4 linked regions of the Macaca fascicularis genome follow. The protein of the gene in region 2 purifies or fractionates together with the protein of the main gene of each other region. This does not show direct contact. Links are inferred from orthologs where the notes say so. Each region holds a gene or a part of one and is shown on either strand. Other genes may lie near its edges.

Region 1 (6,453 bases), on a different chromosome or scaffold from region 2:
TGGAACCACAGAGGATAAAGAGGTAGAGAAGAGGAAAAGAGCAGAGCGCTTTGGGACTGCCTAATGAAAGGTTCTTGATACTTTCTGTTCTCCAGTGTTTTCCATTTCTCTCATTCTTTTTTTTTTTTTTTTTTTTTGAGACGGAGTCTCACTCTGTTACCCAGGCTGGAGTGCAGTGGTGCGATCTTGGCTCACTGCAAGCTCCGCCTCCCAGGTTCATGCTATTCTCCTGCCTCAGCCTCCTGAGTAGCTGGGACTACAGGCGCCTGCCACCACGCCCGGCTAATATTTTGTATTTTTAGTAGAGACGGGGTTTCACCGTGGTCTCGATCTCCTGACCTTGTGATCCGCCCGCCTCGGCCTCCCAAAGTGCTGGGATTCATTTCTCTCATTCTTTTTGGTCACATATATACCTAAATGCACAGTCATGTGCCTATGTCCCTGCCTCGAAATGAGGAAGCATGTACCCCAGGTACATCTGTGAACTGCCGCAGCAGTTTGACTTATTGCTGTTTCAGCTTTAAGGTTGTTGTGCTTTTGTTTTTGATTATGTTGCTTGTTAACAAAAAGAAAAAAGAAAAAAAAAAGCACAGCCTTTCATTCCCACAGTTAAGAGTGTGCTGGAATTCAGTGGGCTCCAGGGACTAGCTGTTCTGATGAGTCCAGGAATTCACCAGCACCCGGTTTCCAGACTAAACTGACCTTGGCATCAGAAACAGTTTCCTTACAAGTAACCATTTTAGAATTGCTGAAAAACCAATGACAGCATCTCTGAAGTCCACTTAACGTGCCCCCCCTTACTAAATCACAAAAGATTCCTTGGCTGTCACAGGGAGGTCACTCTATTTGCATTTCAAAAAGTCTGAAAGTGGCCAGGTGTGGTGACTCACGTCTGTAATCCTAGCACTTCCGGAGGCCGAGGCGGGTGGATCACTTGCGGCGGGTGGATCACTTGCCGGGTGGATCACTTGCCGTCAGGAGTTCATGTAGAGAAACCCCGTCTCTACTAAAAATGCAAAAATTAGCCAGGCGTGGTGGCACATGCCTGTAATCCCAGCTACTCGGGAGGCTGAGGCAGGAGAATCGCTTGAACCCAGAGGCAGAGGTTGCAGTGAGCCAAGATTACATCACTGTGCTCCAGCCTGGGCAACAAGAGCAAGACTCTGTCTCAAAAAAAAAAAAAAAAAAAAAAAAATTCTGAAAGTATCTCTGGTCTGGTCTTTCTCTTCAGAGGTTAGAGTTGTTTCTGCTCAGAAATCCACAGTTCTGGGAACTGAGCCTCATGTGGATGGGATGAGTATGCCTTATGGGCAAAGTGACAGTTATTCCCAAACCTCAGATGGGCATGAAGAGGAGGGATGGGTGAGGAAGGGCTGTGGCCTCACTAGGCTTTAACTGAACAGGATATGGACAAGCAGTGAGTGTGGAGGGTGCCTACCAACTCTGAAGCCCTGGCTGGGGCAGCACCCAGGGCCAGGCGTGTCCCTGGTCTCAAGAACAGGTATGTGGGCCCCTCACCACTGTACCTCCCCTCACAGGCTTGTGGATCTGTCAGGTGGCAGAAGGATGGAAGGGAAAGATCTGCCCTGCATGGGTGGTTCCATGGTCTCAAGCCAGTGCCATCAAGACAGGAAAAGGCCGACTGGGCGCAGTGGCTCACGCCCGTAATCCCAGCACTTTGGGAGGCCAAGGCAGGCGGATCATTTGAGGTCAGGAGTTCAAGACCAGCCTGGCCAACATGGTGAAACCTCATCTCTACTGAAAATACAAAAATTAGTTGGGCATGGTGGCGGGAGGCTATAATCCCAGCTACTCAGGAGGCCGAGGCAGGAGAATTGCTTGAACCCGGGAGGTGGAGGTTGCGGTAAGCTGAGATCACGCCATTGCACTCCAGCCTGGGCAACAACAGCGAAACTCCATCTCAAAAAAAAAGAGACAGGAAAAGGCCACATGTGCAGGGATGAAGTTATCACAGGACTCGAGGGGTAGGTAAGAGGGGGTGTGTGTGTGTGAATTTCAGCAGCTGCTTTTTAGGGGGTGTACAGTGGCGATGGTGTTTGTGCGTGTGTCAAATAGGGTGGTCTGATGATGTCTCTTTATAAGCACTATCTTGTTTTTCTTGATGACTTAACTTCCAACGAAACTATCTTGTACAGAAGTATCACCATGTAAAGTTGTGGGACAGGCAGCAAAAAAAATTTATATATATACACACACACACACACACATATATATATATATATATATATATATAGGCCAATATAGGCCAGGTGTGGTGGCTCATGCCTGTAATCCCAGTACTTCTGAAGGCCGAGGTGAAAGGATCGCTTGAGCCCAGGAGTTCAAGACCAACCCTGGGAAACATGGTGAAACAGTGTCTCTACCAAGAAACACACACACACAAAATTTGCCAGGCGTGTTGGTGCACACCTGTGGTCCCAACTACTTGGGAAACTGAGGTGGGAGGATTGTCAGAACCTGGGAAGTCGAGGCTGCATTGAGCCATGATTGCGCCACTGCACCCAGCCTGGGCAAAAGAGGAGCCCCTGTCTCAAAAGCAAACAAACAACAACAAAAAAACCACAGAAAGGGACAGACTCAGAGGTCACATGTGCATGAGAAGGTGTGGCCGCCTGAGGGGAGAGAGGCTGCTGGGAGACGTGGGAGACCCCGCTGGTAGTGCGGGGCGACAGCACACAACACTGGAGAACTTGCCTGGCTCTGCTATGCACTGAGTGGTCGTCAGCAAGTCCCTTCCCCTGCTTGGGTCTCAGTTTCCCCATCTGTGGATTGAACTCAGTGACTTCCACAAGCCCGCGGACTTTAAGGCTATAGCATTAGATTTCAAGTGTGTCCGGATAGGAAAGAAGACACAAAGAAAACTACCGGTTTCTTTTAAAGTACAAGATATGGGGAGCCAGGAGCCACCATGTGAAAGGGAGGAGTGAAGGGAGTTCAGGCTAAGGGACCACACCAGCTGCTGGGTGTGATGAACAACTCAGAGTTGGGGTCCAGAAAAAAGTAGGGACAGGCCAAAAACTAAGGATGAGCTCCCAGGAGAGAGAGTCCTAGAAGGAAGTTTAAGAGTCTAGCTGGGGTCTCCTACAGAGAGGTGGTCCTTCCCTCAGCACGCCTCCTCCAACAGCCTAGTTTTGATGAAAGCAAAAAGAAGAGACGCTCAATGTAGCGGGGTTGGGAGGTAGGGGGTGCGATATCCTAGTACTCTCCTGTAGCTGGGAGAGTGTTGAGGGAGAGTTCCAATCCAGGATAACCCACCCTTATTCAAGAATTAAGCGAACGGACAAGGTCCTACCCGCCTACAGATTACCTTTAAACAGCCGCAGGGGGCCAAAGATCCGAGGCAGTGAACTCCTGAGTTCGAGTGAGGGGAAAAGGGGTCCCCAGACGGTGGAAATGGGGACCTGGGAGTCAGGAGTCCTGGAACCAAGGGGGAGCGTCCCGGGATCCAGAAGAGGAGGTCTCAGGATGGAGTGAGAAGAGTCCCGGATCACAGATGAGGGAGTTCGGGAACTAAAGGGGAGGGTCCCAGGACCCGGAGGAGGTGGGAGGGACTCTCAAGACATAGAGGGAGGAGTCCCGCGACCGAAGGGGAGGGGTCCCAGGATCCAGAGGAAGCCGGGGGAGGTCTCAGGACCGAGGCGAAGGAGTCCCGGGAACACAGAGGAGCGGGTCAGGGGTTCGAGTCGCTCTCGCCCTCCCGCCAGGGCCCCGCGCTCACTGTCCATGCCGGGGAAGGGCAGCGGCTGCGCCCCGAGCTGCTGCTCCACTGCGATCTCCAAGTCAAACTTGATGTGGTCCACGCTGGCGATTATTTCCTGCATGGCGGCGGCGGCGGCCCCACCGGCCCGGCTCCCCCTCGGTCTCCTGCAGCCCTCTCGCCTCTCTACCCGCCGCCGGGCCCGCCGCACACGCTCCTCCTGCGCCTCGCAGCCGCCGCCGCCGCCGCCGCCCGAGGGATGCCGGGAGCGCCCAGAGCCCGCGCCGGTTCTTGCGCCTGTCCAGGCACTGCCAATCGAGCGCGGAGTCCCGCCGCTCCGCTAGTCCCGGCTAGCCGCCAGCCGAACGCCGGCCTAGTCTCGCCGGAAACCTGAAACCAGCCGCGTGTGTCGGCTACGCGGGCTGCGCTTGCGCGTCAGGGGAGAGGGTGACCCGTGGGAGAGCCGGGTCCGTCGCGGGGACCGGGTAGAGAGCCCCGTCGGAGTGCACTGCGCCGGACACTTCAAGTGAGTTCTTGTGTGATCCTCGCAGGAACCCCGGGATCCGGGCAGAGACACGCCAGAGGGGAAGGAAGTGCCCGAACCAGGATTGGAGCCAGGGGCGTCCGAGGAGGGAAACTGAGGCTGCAAAAGTCTGTGTGGAGAGGGGTCGGCGTTGGCCTGAGGGTCCGGGTAGGCGTCTGAGGAGGGGCGGGTCTCTCCGAAGAAGGACGGCCGCAGCGTGTCTCTAATTCAGGGTTTTTTCTTTTCTCGCTAGGTGGCCCAGGCTGGAGTACAGCGGTATGATCATAGCTCACTGCGGCTTCAACTTCTCAGGCTCAAGCGATCCTCCCACCTCAGCCTCTTGAGTAGCTGCACCACCACGCTTGGCTAATTTTTAAATTTTTATTTTTAATTTTTGTGGAGATGGGGGCCTTGCTATGTTGCCCAGGCTGGTCTTGAACTCCTAGCCCCAAGCCCCAAGCGATCGACTCGCCTGGGCCTCCCAAAGTGCTGGGATTACAGGCATGAGCCACTGTATGGTCTAATTCAGGGTTTTCTAACCAGGGTGGGGTAATGAAATTGTATAGGAACAAAATGACACCCCTATTTTCTCTGTGAAATTTAGCATTTCCTTTCCCAATTGCTGGAGCAGCCTTAGCAGTGCCTGAAACTGTGTCATAATTTCAAGTTGGGGTGAGTGTAAATGATAGTTCCAGATAAGAGTTTGTGCAGTGATGGCTCACACCCGTCACTCCAGCACTTTAGGAGGCCGAGGCAGGAGGATCACTTGAGGTCAGGAGTTCAAGACCAGGCTGGACAGCATGGCAAAACCCCGTCTCTACTAAAAATATAAAAATTAGTCGGGAGTGGTGGTGCGTGCCTGTAATCCCAGCTACTTGGGAGGCTGAGGCATGAGCATCGCTTGAACCCGGGAGGCAGAGGTTGCATTGAGCCGAGATGGCACCACCCCACTCCAGCCTGGCGACAGAGTGAGACTCAAAAAAAAAAAACAGTTTGTGCAGCACCTACAAGGTGGTATCTTAAGCTGTCACTTACATTCGTTACTGCTTTGAAATTATTGTAGGGTCTTGTTATTTATTTATTTATTTATTTTTTTTATTTTTTTTTTTTGAGACGGAGTCTCGCTCTGTCGCCCAGCCCAGGCTGGAGTGCAGTGGCGCGATCTCGGCTCACTGCAAGCTCCGCCTCCCGGGTTCACGCCATTCTCCTGCCTCAGCCTCCCGAGTAGCTGGGACTACAGGCGCCCACAACCGCGCCCGGCTAATTTTTTGTAATTTTTAGTAGAGACGGGGTTTCACCGTGGTCTCGATCTCCTGACCTTGTGATCCGCCCGCCTCGGCCTCCCAAAGTGCTGGGATTACAGGCGTGAGCCACCGCGCCCGGCCGGGTCTTGTTATTTAATGCATTGAAAATAAGCATCTATGCTAGTGTAGCAGAAATTTGTTTTTAAAGCATTTTGATGCCATTTCAATATCATTGCTTTTTGTTTTGTAATTCTGTGTATTGTAATTAATGCACATAAGGCAGGGCATGGAGGCTTACGCCTGCAATCCCAACACTTTGGGAGACCAAGGCTGGAGGATTGCTTGAGGCCAGGAGTACTAGACCAGCCTGGCAACATAGGGAGACTACATCTCTACAAAAAATTAGCTGGGTATGGTGGTGTGCACCAGTAGTGCTAGTTAATTGGGAGGCTGAGGTAGGAGGATCACTTGAGCCCAGAAGTTGGAGGTTGCAGTGATTGTGCGTTTGCCACTGTGCCATCGCACTCCAGCCTGGGCAACATGAAGACGCCATTCCCATAAAAAGAAAATTACATAAACACCATGCTTGTAAGAAGGAGTGGCAGGGCTTGCCAGATGCAGAATGATAAAGGCCCCCTGCACTAGTTTCACAAAGGTGCTAGTCAGGAGAGTCTGTCCATACGTTACATGGACCTGAGTTCTAAGCCAGCCCAGGCCAAACTGGCCAGTCTCACCCACTGCACTGCTGCAGGACCCCAGCAAGTCTCTCCCCTTGCTGGGCCTAGTTTTTTGTTTGTTGTCGTCGTTGGTTTTTTTGAGACAGAGTCTTGCTGTGTTGCTCAGGCTGGAGTGCAATGGCGCTATCTTGGCTCACTGCAACCTCTGCCTCCCACGTTCAAGTGATTCTCCTGCCTCAGCCTCCCGAGTAGCTGGGATTACAGGGACATGCTGTCATGCCCAGCTAATTT
Region 2 (5,759 bases):
CATCGCCCTCTCCAGAGGTGACAAAGGCACAAATGAGGGGAATCTTTGAGGATCTTTTTCTGTGCACTTAAGTACATGGGTGCTGCTCCTAGAAACTCGTTTTTATCCTGTGATGATCGATCCCCACCCTGGCACCCCCACCCCCTGCCACACAAATGGGACCTTCCTGGGCATAAGGGTCCTTGACTGGCCTTCCTCACTTCACTCCGTGTCTGCTCTGGGAGTTCCTGTGCCTGGGTGGGAGGAGTCGCAGGGCACCAATGCAGAGTCCCTGGATTGCCCACCCTACACTGACATGCTGGCTCGCCCTCCCACCAGGTCCGCATAAAGATCCTGGCCAGCCTGGTGACACAGTTCAACTCGGGCCTGAAGGCGGAGGTCCTGTCCTTCATCCTGGAGGATGTGCGGGCCCGCCTGGACCTGGCCTTCGCCTGGCTCTACCAGGAGTACAACGCCTATCTGGCCGCGGGTGCCTCAGGCTCCCTGGACAAGTATGAGGACTGCCTTATCCGCCTGCTGTCCGGCCTGCAGGAGAAACCAGACCAGAAGGATGGGTGAGGGGGCTGACCCTGCACCCTCCTGTCCCCACGAGGCCCCCTCTTCTGGTGCTGCTCTCCCTTTCTGATTCTGACCACCTCCCTCTTCATCACCCCCCGAGTCAGTCCTTCTCGAGTCCATCCCAAGTCTTCTCTCCTCCTTCCCCCTCTGGAGGCACGTTCAAGGTTGTAGTTTTGCATGTGAGCTGCAGGTCGCACTCCCTGAGCTGTTCCCCAGCTCTGCCACTTGCTCTGAGCATGGTTTGAGTGGCTTTGTCACTCCCCCTGTGTGTCATTTTCCCATCTGTAAATAACAGTACTCACCCATGGGCCTGGAGATAGACTTCTCTACACCCCATTTCCTACCTGAGTTGGTTCTGTAGCTTCCTCCCTGTCCGTGGCCTCCAGCTTACTCATCTGTCCTCCACACAGCAGCTCCGGGAACACTTTGTTATATAAATCCTTTTATTACTTCCCCACGAGGAACCTTCCATGGTTCTCCATTGCTCTTAGGGTAAAGCACAGCCTCCTTACTGTGACCAGTGAGGCGTTATGTTATTCACTCTCTTTGGCTTTACTCCCTGAACATTAGCCACATTGGCCTTCTGTCTGTTCCTCGAGTGTGCCAAGTTCAGGGCACTAGTGCTTCCTGTTCTGTCTGCCTGGAATGCCCTTCCCTCAACTGTGTGTGTGGTTGGCTCCTTCTCATCTACCAGTATACTCAAATGTAACTTCGAAGCAGCCTTTTGAGGCCACCATATCTAAAATACCCACACCCTTCTCCACCCGCCGTCATTCCCTCCCATTTTTATGTTCAATGAATAAAGTTAGGAATCCCTGTTTGACAAAAGGAAGAAATGAGTTTCAGAGAGGTGCAGCCTCTGCCTAGATCATCCAGCCGGCAGCTTTTGAACCCTGGTCTTTTCACTTCCAAAGCTTTATAACCAGGGGCTTGAACAAGCAACCCCTGAGGGAGGGCCTGCTGGCCCTGAGCTCCTACAATTCAGTAGGGCCTGGGAGCCAGGCGGCCTTTTCCTCTGCAGCCATGGCCCTCCCTCCATCTCTGGCAGGATCTTCACCAAGGTTGTGCTGGAGGCGCCCCTCATCACAGAGAGTGCCCTGGAGGTGATCCGCAAGTACTGCGAGGATGAGGTGAGGACAGGCCCTGGTCACTGCAGCCTGGGCCAAGGGACAGGGCTCTCCCCTGAGGATTCTGAAGGGCACACAGCCTAAACCTTGTGGCAAGGGGTTTCATGAGGGACCGGGCTGTTTTGTCAGAGGCAGTCAGGAGAGAGAGCCCAAAGGCACAGTCAGGTGGGCTGAGCTCAGGTCCCTTTCCTCTTGCTGCAGAGTCGCACCTACCTGGGCATGTCCACGCTTCGAGACCTGATCTTCAAGCGCCCGTCCCGCCAGTTCCAGTACCTGCATGTCCTTCTCGACCTCAGCTCCCATGAGAAGGACAAGGTGATCCCCTGCTCCACTTCCTGGCTGCCCTCAGCCTGCAGTTTGCAGAGGCCACCTGTATCCTGAGGAACCAACTCGTTCTTAGTCCGCCTGTGGTGGCCAGCACAGGCTCCTCGTGCAGCCCAGTCCTGTGCTGGGGCCTGAGGGCATTGCCCAGCAGGGGAGCCAGTGTGGCCTCAGCCAGCAGTGAGGACCCAGCATGCTCAGCAGCTGAGCAGAGCAGTGTGCAGCTGCGGAGCCCTGGGGAGGGAGGGGCCGACCATCTGGTGGTGGGGTGGGCAGGGGAGGTGTTTCAAGGAAAGCTTCCTTCAAGAAGGGGAGATGTGGGCCGAGACCTGGAAAATGAATAGCTGGGTGTGCTCTAGACGAGGGGACAAATGTGCATATGCTGTGGTTGAGAGCGCCCTTGACCCATCCTTGCCTGCAGCCTTTTGCCCCAGCCCCTGCCTGGCAGCATGTTTATTCATTCAGCAGACCTTCATTGCACACCCCTGGCCCTGGCCCTGGCCCTGTGCTGCTGCTGGGATCAGAGTGCCCAGGACCAGCCCCTACCCTCACAGGTCCCGGCAGATAATATCTGAGTGAAACAGTGTTTAGCTGGCAGTAGGCGTTCTAGGGAGACTTGGCAGGGAGTGGCACTTTTAAGGAACTGAGATCTCCCTCTGCTTGGAGCTTGGTGAGCAAGGCAAGGAGCAGTGACGGGCAGATGGGCTGGAAAGACGGGCAGATGGGCTGGAGAGGCAGGCAGCGAGGTGGTGCTGTGGGTCCGGCCCTGGCCGGGATATCTGCCTCCTGCGCTGGGGACCAGCTCTGGGCCCTGGTAGCAGCTGGGCTGCCCCTTCTCAGGCTCGGGTCTGTTTTCACATGAGTGTTGCCACACTCGCAGGAATAGCTGTTCTTCCTCTTCCCTCTTCCCTGACCCTGCCCTTCTCCATCTTCCTCCTCAGGTGCGCTCCCAGGCCCTGCTGTTCATCAAACGCATGTATGAGAAGGAGCAGCTGCGGGAGTATGTGGAGAAATTTGCCCTCAACTACCTGCAGCTCCTGGTGCACCCCAACCCACCGTCTGTGCTGTTTGGAGCTGACAAAGACACAGGTTGGGCGCAGGTCATCAGATGCATATTGAGTGCTGCTGTGTCCGCGCTCTGGTCGCTGCGAGCAGAGGGGCTGAGTGGGGAAGCCACCCAGACACCAGTGACGGGAACGGGCAGGGCTGGGACAGCCACCTGGGGGCTGTGGGAGTCAGGGTAGGGGCATCTGACCTAGCCTAGGGGGTCAGGGAGAGAGATCTGGCGGACGAGGAGAGCCAGCCATCGGTGGGGCCCCAGGAAGGACCAGGCAGGGTCATCTCAGGCAGGTTCCCTCAACAGAGCCTTGGGTCCCCCAGGATTACAGACAGGTAGACTCAGACCCCGAGTAAATGGACCCTTAAATGGGAAGTCTTGGGGCCATGATAGGGCAGCACGGGAGGCCTGGCCCAGGTGCCAGGAAGCATTCCCAGGAGACGCACAGCCTTCGGGAGGCCCAGAGTCTGAGCAGGTGCTGTGGACCAGGCAGAAAGGAGGGCGGATGCAAAGGCAAAGAGACCAGGGCCTTCGGGACTGTTAGAAGGGGTGTGTGACCACCATGGAGGGCAGCAGGGCAGCAGCAGGCCGGGGCCACCCCATGCAACACCTGGCAGCCACTGGGAGGCAGCGAGCCGGGGGTTTATTCTGAGGCTACAGGGCGTGGCTGGGCTTGGAGGTGGAGAGGGACAGGGTCAGGATTGCACTCAAAGATCCTTCTAATTGCCTTGTGTGTTGGCAGTCGGGGAAGGCTGGAGGTAGGAAGTCCTGGTCCCACCCCATTTCCCTGCCCTAGAACAATTAGCTCCCCAGCCCCGGCTCCCTTCTCTGCCCTCCCTGGCTCCACTGCCCAAGAAGGGACAGTTACTGAGGGTCCGAGGGGGTTGGAGAAGAGTGTGGGCCAATCCGACGCCGCTCCTGCCCTGTCAGAGGTGGCAGCGCCCTGGACGGAGGAGACAGTGAAGCAGTGTCTCTACCTCTACCTGGCTCTCCTGCCTCAGAACCACAAGCTGATCCACGAGCTGGCGGCCGTGTACACTGAAGCCATCGCCGACATCAAGCGGACGGTGCTGAGGGTCATCGAGCAGCCGGTGAGGCCCCTGAGCCCACCAGGCCCTGCCCACCCACAGGCAGGGCTATGTCCCCAGCTCCAGCTCTTCCCCAACCTGCTCTACCTCAGAGTGTGCCAAGCCCAAAGGGTGGTCACCCCGGGTTGACCCAGGCTGTGTAGCTTGCGGGCGGTCCGCATGTCACTCATCAGTTCCTGAGGAAACGTCAGAGTGGCTCAGCAGTTAGGAGCCTAGAGCTGGATAGAGCTGGGTTCGTGTTCACTTGTCACTTTCTCACTGCGACCTCGGGCCTGTCAGTAAAACTAGGGAAGACATTCCAGTCCCTCCACGCTGATGCAAGGAGTCCATGAACTCAGGCACATAAACCTCTGTGTCACTGTCACTGTTTATGAGCTGACCTTCCCGGTGTTGCTAATGGGACTCTTTAGCTGTCATTACATAAGTCCTTCCCACCTCTCTCTCTCGAGCCACAGGGCTGCCCACAGGAGAAGCAGCTCAGTGACAGACTGTCACCTGAGATGAGAAGGTCTGCACTTCAGTTTGCAGCAGGGTTTGAAACCACTTTTTTTCTTTCTGCCCCTGACATTTTTGGATTACCGAACATTTTCATGATAAATGGGAGAGAGAACTGTATGTTAATCCCCACCTATCTGCCATTTGGGTTCAGTGGGGCCCTTACCTGGAAAATGGGGATAACAGGCTTGTAGTCAGGAGGAAACATTTTTAGCCCCATTCCCAAGGTGAGCCAACTGTGGAAAAGTGATCTCACTTTGCGGAAAAGTGATCCTGTGGTCTGTGAGCTTCCCGAGGGCAGAGACATTCGGTTTTAGTCAGGAGCGTAAACGTTCCTGGGTGAAGGTGGAGCCTGGCCCCAGCTCCTGTGTTTGGCGTTCACCATGGGGCAGGCTCAGGAAGCAGCAGCAGGTGGAGCCTGGTCTGGGCTCACAGCCAAGCCAGCCGCGCATGAGAAACCAAGTCACGAAGCGGGTGGGTGTGGGTGGAGCCAGAAACATCTTTACCAGTGAGTGAAGCACAGGGTAGGCATTCGAGGTCAGGTCGGGTCTGAGCCACACAGGAGTGGCCTGCTGGAGGACAGCCCAGCCAGGGCTGGGAGCTGGAGCAGGCCACATCCGGAGAGGCTGCAGGGAGAGGCCGAGGTTTCTCTGACCTCTCCCACCCTTCCCTACCTTTCCCCCACCCTCCAAACCCTGTCACCAGTCTCACCCTGAGCCCCAGCATTTCCCGCAGCCACCCTGCCGGCAGCACCTGAGCCTTCCCTAAGCTCTCACCCTGGGTGTGGTCATCCCTGTCTCTGCCTCTAGATCCGAGGAATGGGCATGAACTCCCCGGAGCTGCTCCTGCTGGTGGAAAACTGTCCCAAGGGGGCAGAGACACTGGTCACACGATGTCTGCACAGCCTCACAGACAAAGGTGACCCTGGAGACCCCCACCTTTCATGCTTTCCTCCCTTTCCTTAGCCTTCCCCGGGTCCTGGGAATCCGAGCCACTGGGTCCCCAGATGGTCGTACCTCTTGTGGGTCTTTGCCTGTCCTAGGGCCTCAGTTTCTCCATCTGGAACAGTGTGGTGCTAATTGCACGTGAGCAGCCAAGGGTGAAAAGTTCTGC
Region 3 (5,759 bases), on a different chromosome or scaffold from region 2:
TACATAGTTGGCCCTTTGTAGCTGCTGTTCCACATCTGAGGATTCAACTAACTGTGGATTGAAAATATTTGAAAAAACAATAAAAGAAGATAATGCAATAATTTAAAAAAATATAAGTAAAAAAATACAGTGTAACAACCATTTACATAACATTTACATTGTATTAGGTATTATAAGCAATAGAGATGATTTAAAGTATATAGGAGGATGTATGTAGGTTGTATGCAGATATATTTTTTTTTGAGACAAAGTCTTTATTGTACATGCTGGAGTGTAGTGGCACATTCACGACTCTCTGCAGCCTCAAACTCCTGGGCTCAAGCACCTCCCTCTAGCTTCCCACATAGCTAAGACCACAGGCGTGTGCCACCATGCCTGGCTAATTTTTTTATTTTTATAGAGATGTGATCTCCCTATGTTGTCCAGGCTGGTCTTGAACTCCTGGACTCAAGCCATCCTCCTGCCTTGACCTACCAAAGTGCTGGGATTACAGGTGTGAGCCATTGCGCCTGGCCACCATTTTGTATGAGGGACTTGGGGCATCTGATGGTTTTGGTATTCGTGGGGGTCCTGGAGCCAGTACCCATGGATACTGAGGGATGGCTGTATATATAATTGTGCGAGTGTATATATATGTATGTACATAAGTTTGGGACAAAGTTCATTGGGGTGGATAGGCGAGACTGGGGTAGCCCAGAAACACCAGGCTGGTTACATTTGGCCTAGCCAAACAATTTTCTCAGTGATACACACACCATTTTCCATGTGTATTATAATGTATAGAGTGTTGAGGACTACTGATTTATAATTTTTCAATGAAAAAAGATGGAGAGTTAATGACACTGAATTTCTGAAGAGATAGTCAACAGAATCAAAAGCAGTTGTAATGACCTGAACAAAATTCCTTCATTTTTTACCTGGCCTAGTAGTTGCTTATTTGTAAATTACAGTCTTTCTAATAAAAACACAGAGAGAAAATTATCTGTAATTTTGTAGCATAGTATTGTTATGTTCTATAGGGATTTTACATTCTTGTTTTCTAGCAAATGTCCTGGAAACACTTCGAGGTGATGGAAATGTGTTAATAGCAGTGGACACAGCAGGCAGAGTTTTGGAACTTGCTCAACTTCTTGATCAGATTTGGAGGACTAAAGATGCAGGACTGGGTGTTTACTCATTGGCACTCCTAAATAATGTCAGTTACAATGTGGTAGAGTTTTCTAAATCCCAGGTTTGTTCTCATGTTGTCACTTGTAATAAAGAAGTTTGCTACAGTGATTGGGTCTGTGGAAGTGGGTGTCTTCATTGTTTTTTGGATTTTATTTTTCCCTTGAAGAGATTGTTAGTAATGATGATAACTTGCCATTAACCATTTACTGTTCTGTGTGCTTTAAATGTATTATTTCATTTAATCTGTATTTATTCTACTAAGTAGTTTCCCTTTTATCCCTGTTTTAAAGATTAGGCAAATTGCTTCTCTTCTAACTCTTTAGTATCCCAGTCTGTAAAATGGGGACAAAAATAGAACCTACCTCATAGCATATACATGTTAGAATTCATTGTTCTTTCTTTTAAATAAGCTTTTTGCCTTGAAATAGCAATCTCTGGGAGTAAGATTTTCATTTAGAACATATACCTTGCCTTTTCAAAAAGATTTAAGGTGATTTATACGTGAAATATAATGCAAAATTGGGTTTTTTTGGGATGAAAACTAGGGTGGGATAATCTAATGGGAAATGGAAGCAGAAAATAAGCTGCTTGTCAAAACATTACAAATTTAAGCAACCAGTGGGGGTAAAAGATAGAACTTGGATTCCTTGACTATTAGAGAATATATTGAAGTTATAGGATTTCTAATTCTTGTCATCTTTCCCCCCACATTAGGTGGAATGGATGAGTGATAAATTGATGAGATGTTTTGAAGACAAAAGAAATAATCCATTTCAGTTTCGCCATCTCTCTTTATGTCATGGTCTTTCTGACTTGGCCCGAGTACCTAGCCCTAAAGTTGTACTTGCCAGCCAACCTGACCTGGAATGTGGATTTTCAAGGGATCTCTTTATCCAGTGGTGTCAGGATCCTAAGAACTCAATCATTCTAACTTACAGAACTACTCCTGGGACTTTAGCACGTTTCCTAATTGATAATCCTTCTGAAAAAATTACAGAAATAGAGGTAAGCACTTGTATGTGAACTTTATCTTAAGACTGTTTGGGGGATACATTGTGCGTGATGTATAAAAAATAGTGACCAAAAATAAAACTTGAAGTTGTTTTAGGATTTTGATCAGAATTACTCTTGAGAGCCAGGAGTGGTGGTGTGTGCTGTAGTACCAGCTACTCGGGAGGCTGAGGTGGAAGGATCACTTGAGCCCAGGAATCTGAGGTCAGCCTGGGCAACATGCCAAGACCTACCCCCCATCTCTTAAAAAAAAAATTACTGTAGAAGAGAGCCTTTAATAGCACAAATTTCAGAGTTCCTTAACTGGAGGTTCTCTTTTTTTTTTGAGATGGGGTCTTGCTTTGTTACCCAGTCTAGAGTGCAGTGGTGCTGTCATAGTTCCGTGCAGCCTCAAACTCCTGGGCTTAAAGGATCCTCCTCCCTCAGCCTCCCAAGTAGCTGGAACCATAGACATGTGCCACCAGGCCTGGCTATTATTTTATTTTTATTTTTTGTAGAGACGTCTCATTGTATTGCTGTGGGTGGTCTCAAAAGAAGTTCTCATTCTTAAACTTTTCCTTGGTACCCTCTAGTTTACCCAGAGGGTAAGCCTATACAGTGTTTTCTCAGTCTCTGAAAGGTTCCTTTCCTGTCTCTTGCTTAATTTAAATCAGACTCTTTCCTAAAGACGTTCTTTATCCTGTAGCCCCCAGAAGTAATTACTCTTTCTTTCAGTGTTGCATGTACTTTGAATGGAGTACATGTCTTCCTTGTTCTGTATTGCAGCTTCCTAGCTATTTATCTTCCATTTGCAGTTTTTGCCTTCAGACCTGCTGATATGCTGACCCCTCCTTGTTTCTGACATTTAATGATCTCTTGGTCATTCACCATTTGACCCTGATTCACAGTCTTCCTGTCCACTTGTATTCAGGACTTTATTCTCACTGACTTTAGCTTCCATGTATATGATCTGTCCAATTCTTCTCAGTTACTTGACACCTTATTTCTTAATCTTTTCCTTCATCTTACCTCAGACATCCATTCCTGCTGTCATGCTATCTGTTCCTGTGGTCATGCCTGTAACCTTCTTTTGGCCGAACAGTCTCCAAGCATCTCATTCTGAATTTACAGCTGACTTTCCCTGTTATTCTCATGACAACAACTCTTCAGTTCCATTGGGACTTTCAGTTCATGAACCTCACCTTTATACTGTCTATCATCCTTCCAGCCTTAAACTCAGTGGTTCACAATTAATCAAAATTTTGCAAATATCTTTAACTCTCTTACACTTCTGTTTTAGTCCCTGGAAAGGCTTTGACCTTAGTTAAACTATTTGCTTGGTGCGTGCCTGTACTTAAGCAGCTTTATGTTTCTGAAGTTAAACACTACAGTGTAGACAGATTTGTTTTCACATGCATAACTTCACATCTCAGAAGGGGACCCTACACCAGTACTCAGCATTCAGTAGGATGTTCCCGTTCTCACTGTAAGGCAATTTTATATCTTCTTTCTCCTCAAACATCCTACAGCTCACTCTCAGCCTTCATTCATAGCACATGATCTTGTCTCAAACTTAACATAGAAATCGAAGCAGTGAGTCAGGAATTCCTTTATCTTTCCACCACTAAATATACTAACTTGATTCTGCATCTGCATTTGCTGCCTTATCTCCTGTTACAGGAACAAGACAATTAGCTCAATGACTAGTATACCCAAAGATCGTTTGCTTAATAACCAGTGCATCAGTTCTATCGATTTTTCAAAACTAGTATATCATTAAAGTTTGTAGCATTTGATATAGTGGGATGGTTAATAACTGCCAGAGTTGCAAAAGTTTAGGCGACTAAACCTTAACATAAAGCTGTAACATAAAGCAGTATCATAAAGCTGCTTCTTATTTTGTCTTTGTAGCACTCATGTAATTATTTAATTAGAGATAGACTCTCTCTCTGTCACCCAGCCTGGAGTGCAGTGGCACCATCACAGCTCACTGTAACCTCGAACTCCTAGGCTCAGGCTGTCCCTAAACCTCCCCCTAACCCACTCCACCTTGCAAAGTGCTGGAATTATACATGAACCACCGCACCTGGCCCTTAGCAGTCATTTTAAGGAAAGTTTAGTTTGTTAAAAGCTATGTGGTAGGGATATCTGTCTTCCAACTCTACTTAAGAAAAGCATAACATCAGTTACTAAAATCTGAGATATATGTACTATAATTATAGAATTGTTGAGCCAGGATTCTGAGCAAGCATAGCAAAGTAAAATGGTGTCTTTGAGGTTATTTAGGAGCTTGGAAATATAAGGTTAAAAGAACTAAGAAATACTTGAAACAATTTCATCAGATAGGAAATACTGAATTTGAAAATTTTAATTACTAGAAATTAAATTGGGTCTAATAAATCATTTGAGGAATTAGTAAAAGAAAAATGGTTTAAGTTTGGGAAAAAAAATAGACAGTGATGTTCAGAAGCATGCTAAAGAAATGAAAAACAGCCAAAACATCAAATGTTAAGTTTTTGATCTTTTTAATAACTAATGCTCATGCTCAGGGACCTTTTCTTGCTCACCTTCTTAGTGATAGTTCCTTTGCAGTTATCCCTCCTATCTTCGTTATCTAGCAGTTTCCCCTCTACTTGATCACATCCAAAACAATTTTTATTCTTCCCCTACTCCCAGTACTATTCTTCTGTCTTATCTCAGAGAATGCAGCACTTCCCACATATTCAAACCAAAAATCTGGAAGTTTAAAAAATGTTCACTGAAGTATAATATATACTGAAACCTACGTTAAGTGTATAGCATGATGAATTTTTACAAATTGAATGCACCTGTCTAGTCTGTACCCTGATCGAGAAATAGAATATTTCTATAGCGTGTTGGGCAGAGCCAACTAAGGTAAAAAATAGAAATGTAAAAAAAGAAATAGGGGACTGGGTGTGGTGGCTCACGCCTGTAATCCCAGCAGTTTGGGAGGCAGAGGCGGGCAGATCACGAGGTCAGGAGTTCAAGACCAGCCTGGCCAACAGAGTGAAACCCCGTCTCTACTAAAAATACAAAAAATTAGCCAGGCATGGTGGCAGGCGCCTGTAATCCCAGCTACTCGGGAGGCTGAGGCAGGGGAATTGCTTGAACCTGAGAGGTGGAGGTTGCAGTGAGCCAAGATTGCACCACTGCACTCCAGCGTGGGTGACAAAGCGAGACTCCATCTCAAAAAGCAATAAAAAACACATACAGTTCACTGTCTTAACCATTTTTATGTGTACAGTACAGTAGCGTTAACTATATGTACATTGTTGTATGACAGATCTCTAAAACTTTTTCATGTAGCAAAACTGAAACTCTGTACCGATTGGATAACAACTCCCAGAGAGATCTTTTAAACATTCATCATTTCATGTCATTCACTTGCTTAAATGGCTCCAAAGCCTTCCTTCTTCTCTTTCAATAACATCCATATACTACTTACGCAGGCTTCTTAGATCCCACATGATCTAATCCCCACTTACCTTTTGACCTTAGCTTATTCCACTTTCTCTATGCCCTACAGTGCATCAGGATCTTTGCACTAGCTGGTCTTCTGCCTATAGTGTTCTTTCCTG
Region 4 (5,759 bases), on a different chromosome or scaffold from region 2:
AGCAGATAAGGTACAGAAGCTGTGGGTCACTGTGGGTAGCCAGAGGACGAGCCTGCCCTCTCAATAACGCAGAACAAGAGCCAGCTTTGTTACATGGATTTATTTTAAATCTAATGTGACCATCCCAATAAAATAGGCATTTCCCCTCTTACCTTATAGATTGTTTTTAGAGAAGCTTTAAGGTTCACAGAAAGTACGGGGATTTCCCAAATACTCTCTGCCCCCACACTTGTGTGACTTCTCCACTATCAGGATCCCGCATGCGAGTGGAACATTTGTTTATACTGACACATCATCACCACTCAAAGTCCATGGTTTACATCAGGGTTCACTCTTGGTGTTTGTTTTACATTCTATGGGTTTGAACCAAAGTATAATGACATATATCCACCATATACAGAATAGTTTCACTGATTCATCCCTTCATGCTAAACCCCTGGCAATCACTGATCTTTTTACTAAAATAGGCATTTTCGTTTCCCATTTTATAGAAGAGAAGAGGAAACAAAGTTTCAGAGATATTAAATGTCTAGTCCTATGTCACAAAAGTTGTGTGCTCTTGAATCTGATTTTAACACCACACTGATTCCGGAGCTCAAAACTTGCTTTGACAAGTGATTCTCAAACACTATCCACTAGATCCACTTGGGGATCTTTGTTCAGTTGGAGATTCCTAAATTCCACCCAGAGTGATTCAGTAAGTCTGGGATAAGGCCCAAGAATGAGCAATGAGATCCCCAGGTGAAATAAACTCGTTAGAGACCCATGCTGCCAAGGATACATAAGGCTGATATTAGAAAAGACGTAGGAAGAGAGAATCTTATGGGGAAAACCCACAAAACTAAATAAAGCCCCGAATGAGAATGAAGAAGTGACCCACAGGTGGATGTGGGCTAAAGAGGAATTCACCCTCACAGACTGGGAGGTAAGAAGGCACAGGAAGGGCAGGACCAGGGAAAAACAGCTGTAGGTTTATCAGTTAAGTACAAGTAGAGAAGTCTGCTGTTCTCAATTTCAATTCTAAGACAAGAGGTTTAAAACTAAAGTGTTGGCTTCAAGAAAGAAGAGTAGAGTAAAGGCTGGGAGACAGTTTGATTACCATGGGCAGGCACACGCATGTGTGCATGCACATACCCCATTAAGGCCCAAAGGTTGCTTTCTTTTCTTTTTTATATAATTGAGAGGATACTGCTATTTTATTGTGGGAGAAGAAGAGCCTTCTTGCCTCAGCAGGAATACTCCTTGCCTGCAGCCTACCTATCCACCTACCCCAAGAAAATCCAGTGCCTCAATATGCCAAGAACCTTGATCTAGAAAGGACATCATGCTAACTCACCTCCTTGCAGCGCATCCTTCGGCTGGACATCTTGAAATAATATTCACTCAGGCCATCTGGGCTCAGCGGGTCATGAGAGCAAGCCTGAAGCAAGGCTCGGACAGACTTCTCCAGTTCGAAGACCAGATACACATACCCTATTCCCAATGAGAGGAAAAATCACATTAATATCCCTTAGGTGGCCACTCCTCAGCCTTGGCTTTGCAGCAGGGAGTTTCTTCCAAGAAAGAAGGCCTTGTGTATAAGATACATTTTTGTTTTACTCCTGAAAAGTCTTGTTGAGTGGAAGCATTTGCTATGCAGATGCCCAGGGTTGTTGGCCTCCCTCCCACCCTGGTGAAGGAAAGGACTGGCAAGCTGAGACAGAGAGATCCCACCATTACCACAGCTCTCTATGCCAGAACACACAGCATGTTCAGGTCAGCAGAGCCAGGCTTTCCTGGGGGCAGGAAGGATGGCAGTTATTGCTTTAAACGCCTACTTAAACCATTAGTTCAGTTCAATGAAGATGGAGCAGGGTGAAAATAGCAGCTGCTCCTTTCTACAGGGAGGGGATCTCATTTCAGACCAGTGAGGAATCAGATGCTTGGTCCTCATTCCTGCCAACTCCAAAGGGACTTCAGAATTAGGTCAGGCAACAACGTAACTGGGCAGGACAGGCAGGCAAGGGAAAGCTTTTCAAACGCCTTATTTTGAGAGGAAAGGTGCTGCTTGGGTTCAGGTTTAGACAGAAGTGTACAAGGAAGGGGTTTCAGAGGCAGCTCCCACTGCTGTGTAAGTCTGGACAGATGCAACATTAGCTCCGAAGAAATAGAGGGACGTGTTAGGTTGAAGAGAAAGTGCTGACAGATGACAGGTCTGTGCCCTGGAGTGCCCACCATGTTACCAACATGCAGCTGTGACATCCCAGCACCCATAGGTGCAGTTATGTTCTAGGGAAGGGAAAAAAAAGCTCCTACCATGTCTTTATTACCTTTAGGCATATTACCTTTGGGAGGACACCGGGGGTGCTTGCCATCCTTACCAGGCCACTCCACACTCAAAGAGCCAAAAACACGGAAGGTGTTAACTAATCCAGCTGCAAAGAGACAGAAAACAATGGCAGAAGCTGAGGAACCATCTTTCCCAGTAAAGACGCAAACACAGAATCACCAGCATTCTCCTCCCTGGCTCATCCCCACTGACTGACAACTCAGAAATGGATGCTGATCTCCGGTGTAAGCTCCCGACATAGGAGCACTATGGGGGTATATGAAATGCACCTCTCCCCTCAGACACTCATGTAATACCCCTGAACTCAGGCAGGGAATTCAGCCCCTGGCCTCAATTCCAAGTTTCATGCTCCTGAAAGACATGCCCCACCCTTCTACTCTTAAAGCAGGAGGTCTTAGAGACAGCTCACCTTCTGTAATATCCCAAGGAACACCTCCTAGAAACACCTTGCAAGAGTAGATGGGGTTCTTATAGTTCCGGGGAGGAAGCTGGCCACTCCAGGTACAGGTGGCTTCATTCACAGCTTTGGTAGATGGCAAAGAGATAAACAGGGGAGGTTAGAAAATCAGCAAAGCCACCACTCTTCCCTGGGGTGAGCTTGTCCAGTAAGAACCTGACTGGCCACAATCCCTGCCCAGATGCCTGAGAGAATATCCATGATTATTCCGAAAAGCAAGAAACCTATGTCTCACCAATCCACTCAGTCAAGTATGATAATCCTACTTTGCTAATTCTGTCCCCACTAAAATGGAAAGGAATGCCAAGCCAGATGTGTAGGGTAAAAATTTACACCCCATGTTATTTTCAAACATTCAACTAATATGCTAACCACAAAGCAGTTTTATCTTATTGCTTACAGTACTACTAATTCATAATTACTTGAAAATAAACAGAGCAATAGAACATCTTACAGGCTTACTGGTACAAATGGGCCTTCTCCCCAATGTTCAAATGAGAAACATTCTATTCTGTTTCCCTGTCTTGGTTCTGAACTCATTAATCACAGAAGTTAGGACACTGCCAATAAAAACCAGCACTAGCAACCCAGTAAGACAAGAATGTCACAACTGTTCCAAGCCAGACTCATCTTTATAGCACCCAAATGGACAATGGGCCTTCCTTGATGTCAACATGGTAAGATAATCAGTCTTCAATCCTGTCCCCACTGTTTGTACCTTTCCAAATCAGAGACTGACCTTAGTGAGGACTAGTTAGTTCTTGCCCATTTATTTCACCCTCCTCTTTCAGCAAAGAGGCAGACAGCCAATGAAAGGAACTATCATTTTCATTCAGGACAAAGATGTGGAAGGACACTTCCTAAAAGGAATAGGCCCAAGGTGTTGCTACAGCAAGAAACTGGGCAATGTCAGCAATCTTTTACGACAAAAACAGAATATAATGGTCTCATTCAAAAGCATGGTAATGTCATTTCATATGAAAACAATGGCACCAGAAAAAGTACTAAGATGGGCTGCCAAAATCATTAGGTGAACAGGGCACAGCACTATCAGAGAAGAATGAGATCCAGCCCAACTCTGTGAGCAAACAGATACACGGAAATAAATGGAATGGAGAAACTAACACTAACTTAGTCATCAAATTCAGGACCTCAGAAGAGCCAGTGGTTAATGAACTTCTCCCTGGAGCGGTACTAGACAAAGATGAAAAACAAACTTAATACATACTTAAGATAATTTATTTTTTAAACCTTTTAAAATATATAGAGATGGGGTCTCGCTATGTTTCCCAGGTTGGGCAACTCCTGGGCTCAAGCCATCCTGCTGCCTCTGCTTAAGTGCTGAGCCACCAAGGCCAGCCTAAGATAATTTAAATGTCAGAACCTTAAGGATTCCTGTCCTGGTGACATTCCTTACCTTAGAGGTTGACAAATGGACCCCTCCTTCCCCAGTGCATCCATGAGTGTACCAATCAGAAAGCCTCGGGGATGAAAGGTCCAGCATGAGTTGTGTCTGACTGTCTTTGAATTAGAATGTGGAGAGGGTAGACAAAATTCTGGACATTCCTTCCAGAGTTTCTCTTGAGGACATCCACCCGTGGAAGAAGTAAAAGCAAGAGCAGCACACAGCCAGTCTCCATGGAAGGGCACAAGTGAGAGACAGAGCCAGCCCCTTGTGCTGTGGCACATGCATGTGCCAGATTATCTGCCTCTTTCCTCTCCACTCAGCCTCAAGAAGTTCCTGAGTTTGTTCCCATTAGCACTTACTCCACAGAAAGATAATTCTTTGCAGATTTGGAGACTTCACCATGCAACCAAGCCTCCTCTAGACAGTTCACAAGCGTGTGAACTAAGGTCACTTCCTCTGTGCTCCCAGAATGAGGCCTCAGGCCCCACACACGCTCAAGGCACACTCACCTGCAGCTTGTCGGTGCAGCCTGGCCTCTCTCTCTATGCTGAAGGGGTCTTTGGGAGCTTCGAGGAGGTCCCAGGATGGCCACACAGAAGCTCCTGGCCATCTCTTTGAAGCACTGGTTGGGGAGGGAGTGACTGCAGCAAGAGCAGCTTGCTCTTGGTCCATCCGAGACCCTACCCCCATCTTTAAAGGGTCCCTGGGACCACCCCCTGTCAGAGACAGGAAGGGCAGAGGTGGGGAAATGCGAAGGCTTGACTAGGGGAGGAAAAAGGAAGACAGGGTTTTAAAGGACAGTTTTGTTATAAAGTAATAATCACATTATAGAAATTATTAAAAACATCCAACAGACATTTAGCATTTGATATATATTCTTTTAGACTTTCTTCCTGAGCAGTTTTGATTAGTTCTAGTTATACTATAATTTAAACAAATTCTCCTTCTCTCCTCATTCAGCAATTTTTCCATATTGCCAGTCTTTATAGCCATTTAAAATGCATTTATCATATTCTATTTAGGGAACAAGGTACATCTCACTGACCCATACTCTTCCTGCTACATATATACTTTCCAAGTTTTCAGAACCATAAACAAAAATTAAGATGTAGCTTCTTCATATTTTTTGTTTTCTTTGGTCAGATTCCTAGAAAGTCGAATGCCAAAAATGCTATCTATAACAGCTCTGCATTGTATCATAAATGTATCAGAACACTATAAGCTGTGTCAAACCTTTAAATTCTAATTTACATGTGTGAAATGATACCACATTATCAGAATAACTCATTGACAGAATATTTTAAAATCCCCAAATATTAATCAGTCATGAGATAAATTTTCAAGACTGAGTCCAATCTAAGTAACATAGAACTATCAGCACTGTATCTGACCCCATTTTACAGAAGAGGTAACTGCAGCCCGGAGAAGCAAAGAGACCCGCATGTGATTGTCCTTTTAGAAAAGCAGCCTTAACAGATAAAACCAATGGGCAGCGAGAACACCAACTTCCACATTCTAGGACAGGCTGACAGGCGATCACAACCAATGCTGCCAGTCCTGGGTAT

The links.
Region 1: the proteins of SYMPK (region 2) and CPSF4 purify together in Homo sapiens (affinity purification with mass spectrometry; 4 studies listed by BioGRID and IntAct, counting the BioPlex papers as one, with this or other methods). This does not show direct contact. The link is inferred for Macaca fascicularis from reciprocal best matches to the Homo sapiens genes SYMPK and CPSF4.
Region 3: the proteins of SYMPK (region 2) and CPSF2 purify together in Homo sapiens (co-immunoprecipitation; 8 studies listed by BioGRID and IntAct, with this or other methods). This does not show direct contact. The link is inferred for Macaca fascicularis from reciprocal best matches to the Homo sapiens genes SYMPK and CPSF2.
Region 4: the proteins of SYMPK (region 2) and CPEB1 purify together in Homo sapiens (affinity purification with mass spectrometry; 3 studies listed by BioGRID and IntAct, counting the BioPlex papers as one, with this or other methods). This does not show direct contact. The link is inferred for Macaca fascicularis from reciprocal best matches to the Homo sapiens genes SYMPK and CPEB1.

Annotation. Positions count from the first base shown.
Region 1 is NC_088377.1:48,024,476-48,030,928, reverse strand, and holds the start of CPSF4 (cleavage and polyadenylation specificity factor subunit 4), read right to left. Parts: upstream 3,983-6,453; 5' UTR 3,843-3,982; coding exon 3,740-3,842; exon of another isoform or gene 3,329-3,739; intron 79-3,328; exon of another isoform or gene 1-78. UniProt on the Homo sapiens protein: Component of the cleavage and polyadenylation specificity factor (CPSF) complex that play a key role in pre-mRNA 3'-end formation, recognizing the AAUAAA signal sequence and interacting with poly(A) polymerase and other factors to bring about cleavage and poly(A) addition.
Region 2 is NC_088393.1:53,906,071-53,911,829, reverse strand, and holds part of SYMPK (symplekin), read left to right. Parts: intron 1-318; coding exon 319-554; intron 555-1,606; coding exon 1,607-1,688; intron 1,689-1,886; coding exon 1,887-2,000; intron 2,001-2,947; coding exon 2,948-3,095; intron 3,096-3,993; coding exon 3,994-4,154; intron 4,155-5,455; coding exon 5,456-5,564; intron 5,565-5,759. UniProt on the Homo sapiens protein: Scaffold protein that functions as a component of a multimolecular complex involved in histone mRNA 3'-end processing. Specific component of the tight junction (TJ) plaque, but might not be an exclusively junctional component. May have a house-keeping rule.
Region 3 is NC_088381.1:160,139,264-160,145,022, forward strand, and holds part of CPSF2 (cleavage and polyadenylation specificity factor subunit 2), read left to right. Parts: intron 1-1,043; coding exon 1,044-1,231; intron 1,232-1,884; coding exon 1,885-2,175; intron 2,176-5,759. UniProt on the Homo sapiens protein: Component of the cleavage and polyadenylation specificity factor (CPSF) complex that play a key role in pre-mRNA 3'-end formation, recognizing the AAUAAA signal sequence and interacting with poly(A) polymerase and other factors to bring about cleavage and poly(A) addition.
Region 4 is NC_088381.1:68,600,578-68,606,336, reverse strand, and holds part of CPEB1 (cytoplasmic polyadenylation element-binding protein 1), read right to left. Parts: intron 4,957-5,759; coding exon 4,704-4,956; intron 2,853-4,703; coding exon 2,739-2,852; intron 2,415-2,738; coding exon 2,310-2,414; intron 1,474-2,309; coding exon 1,337-1,473; intron 354-1,336; exon of another isoform or gene 1-353.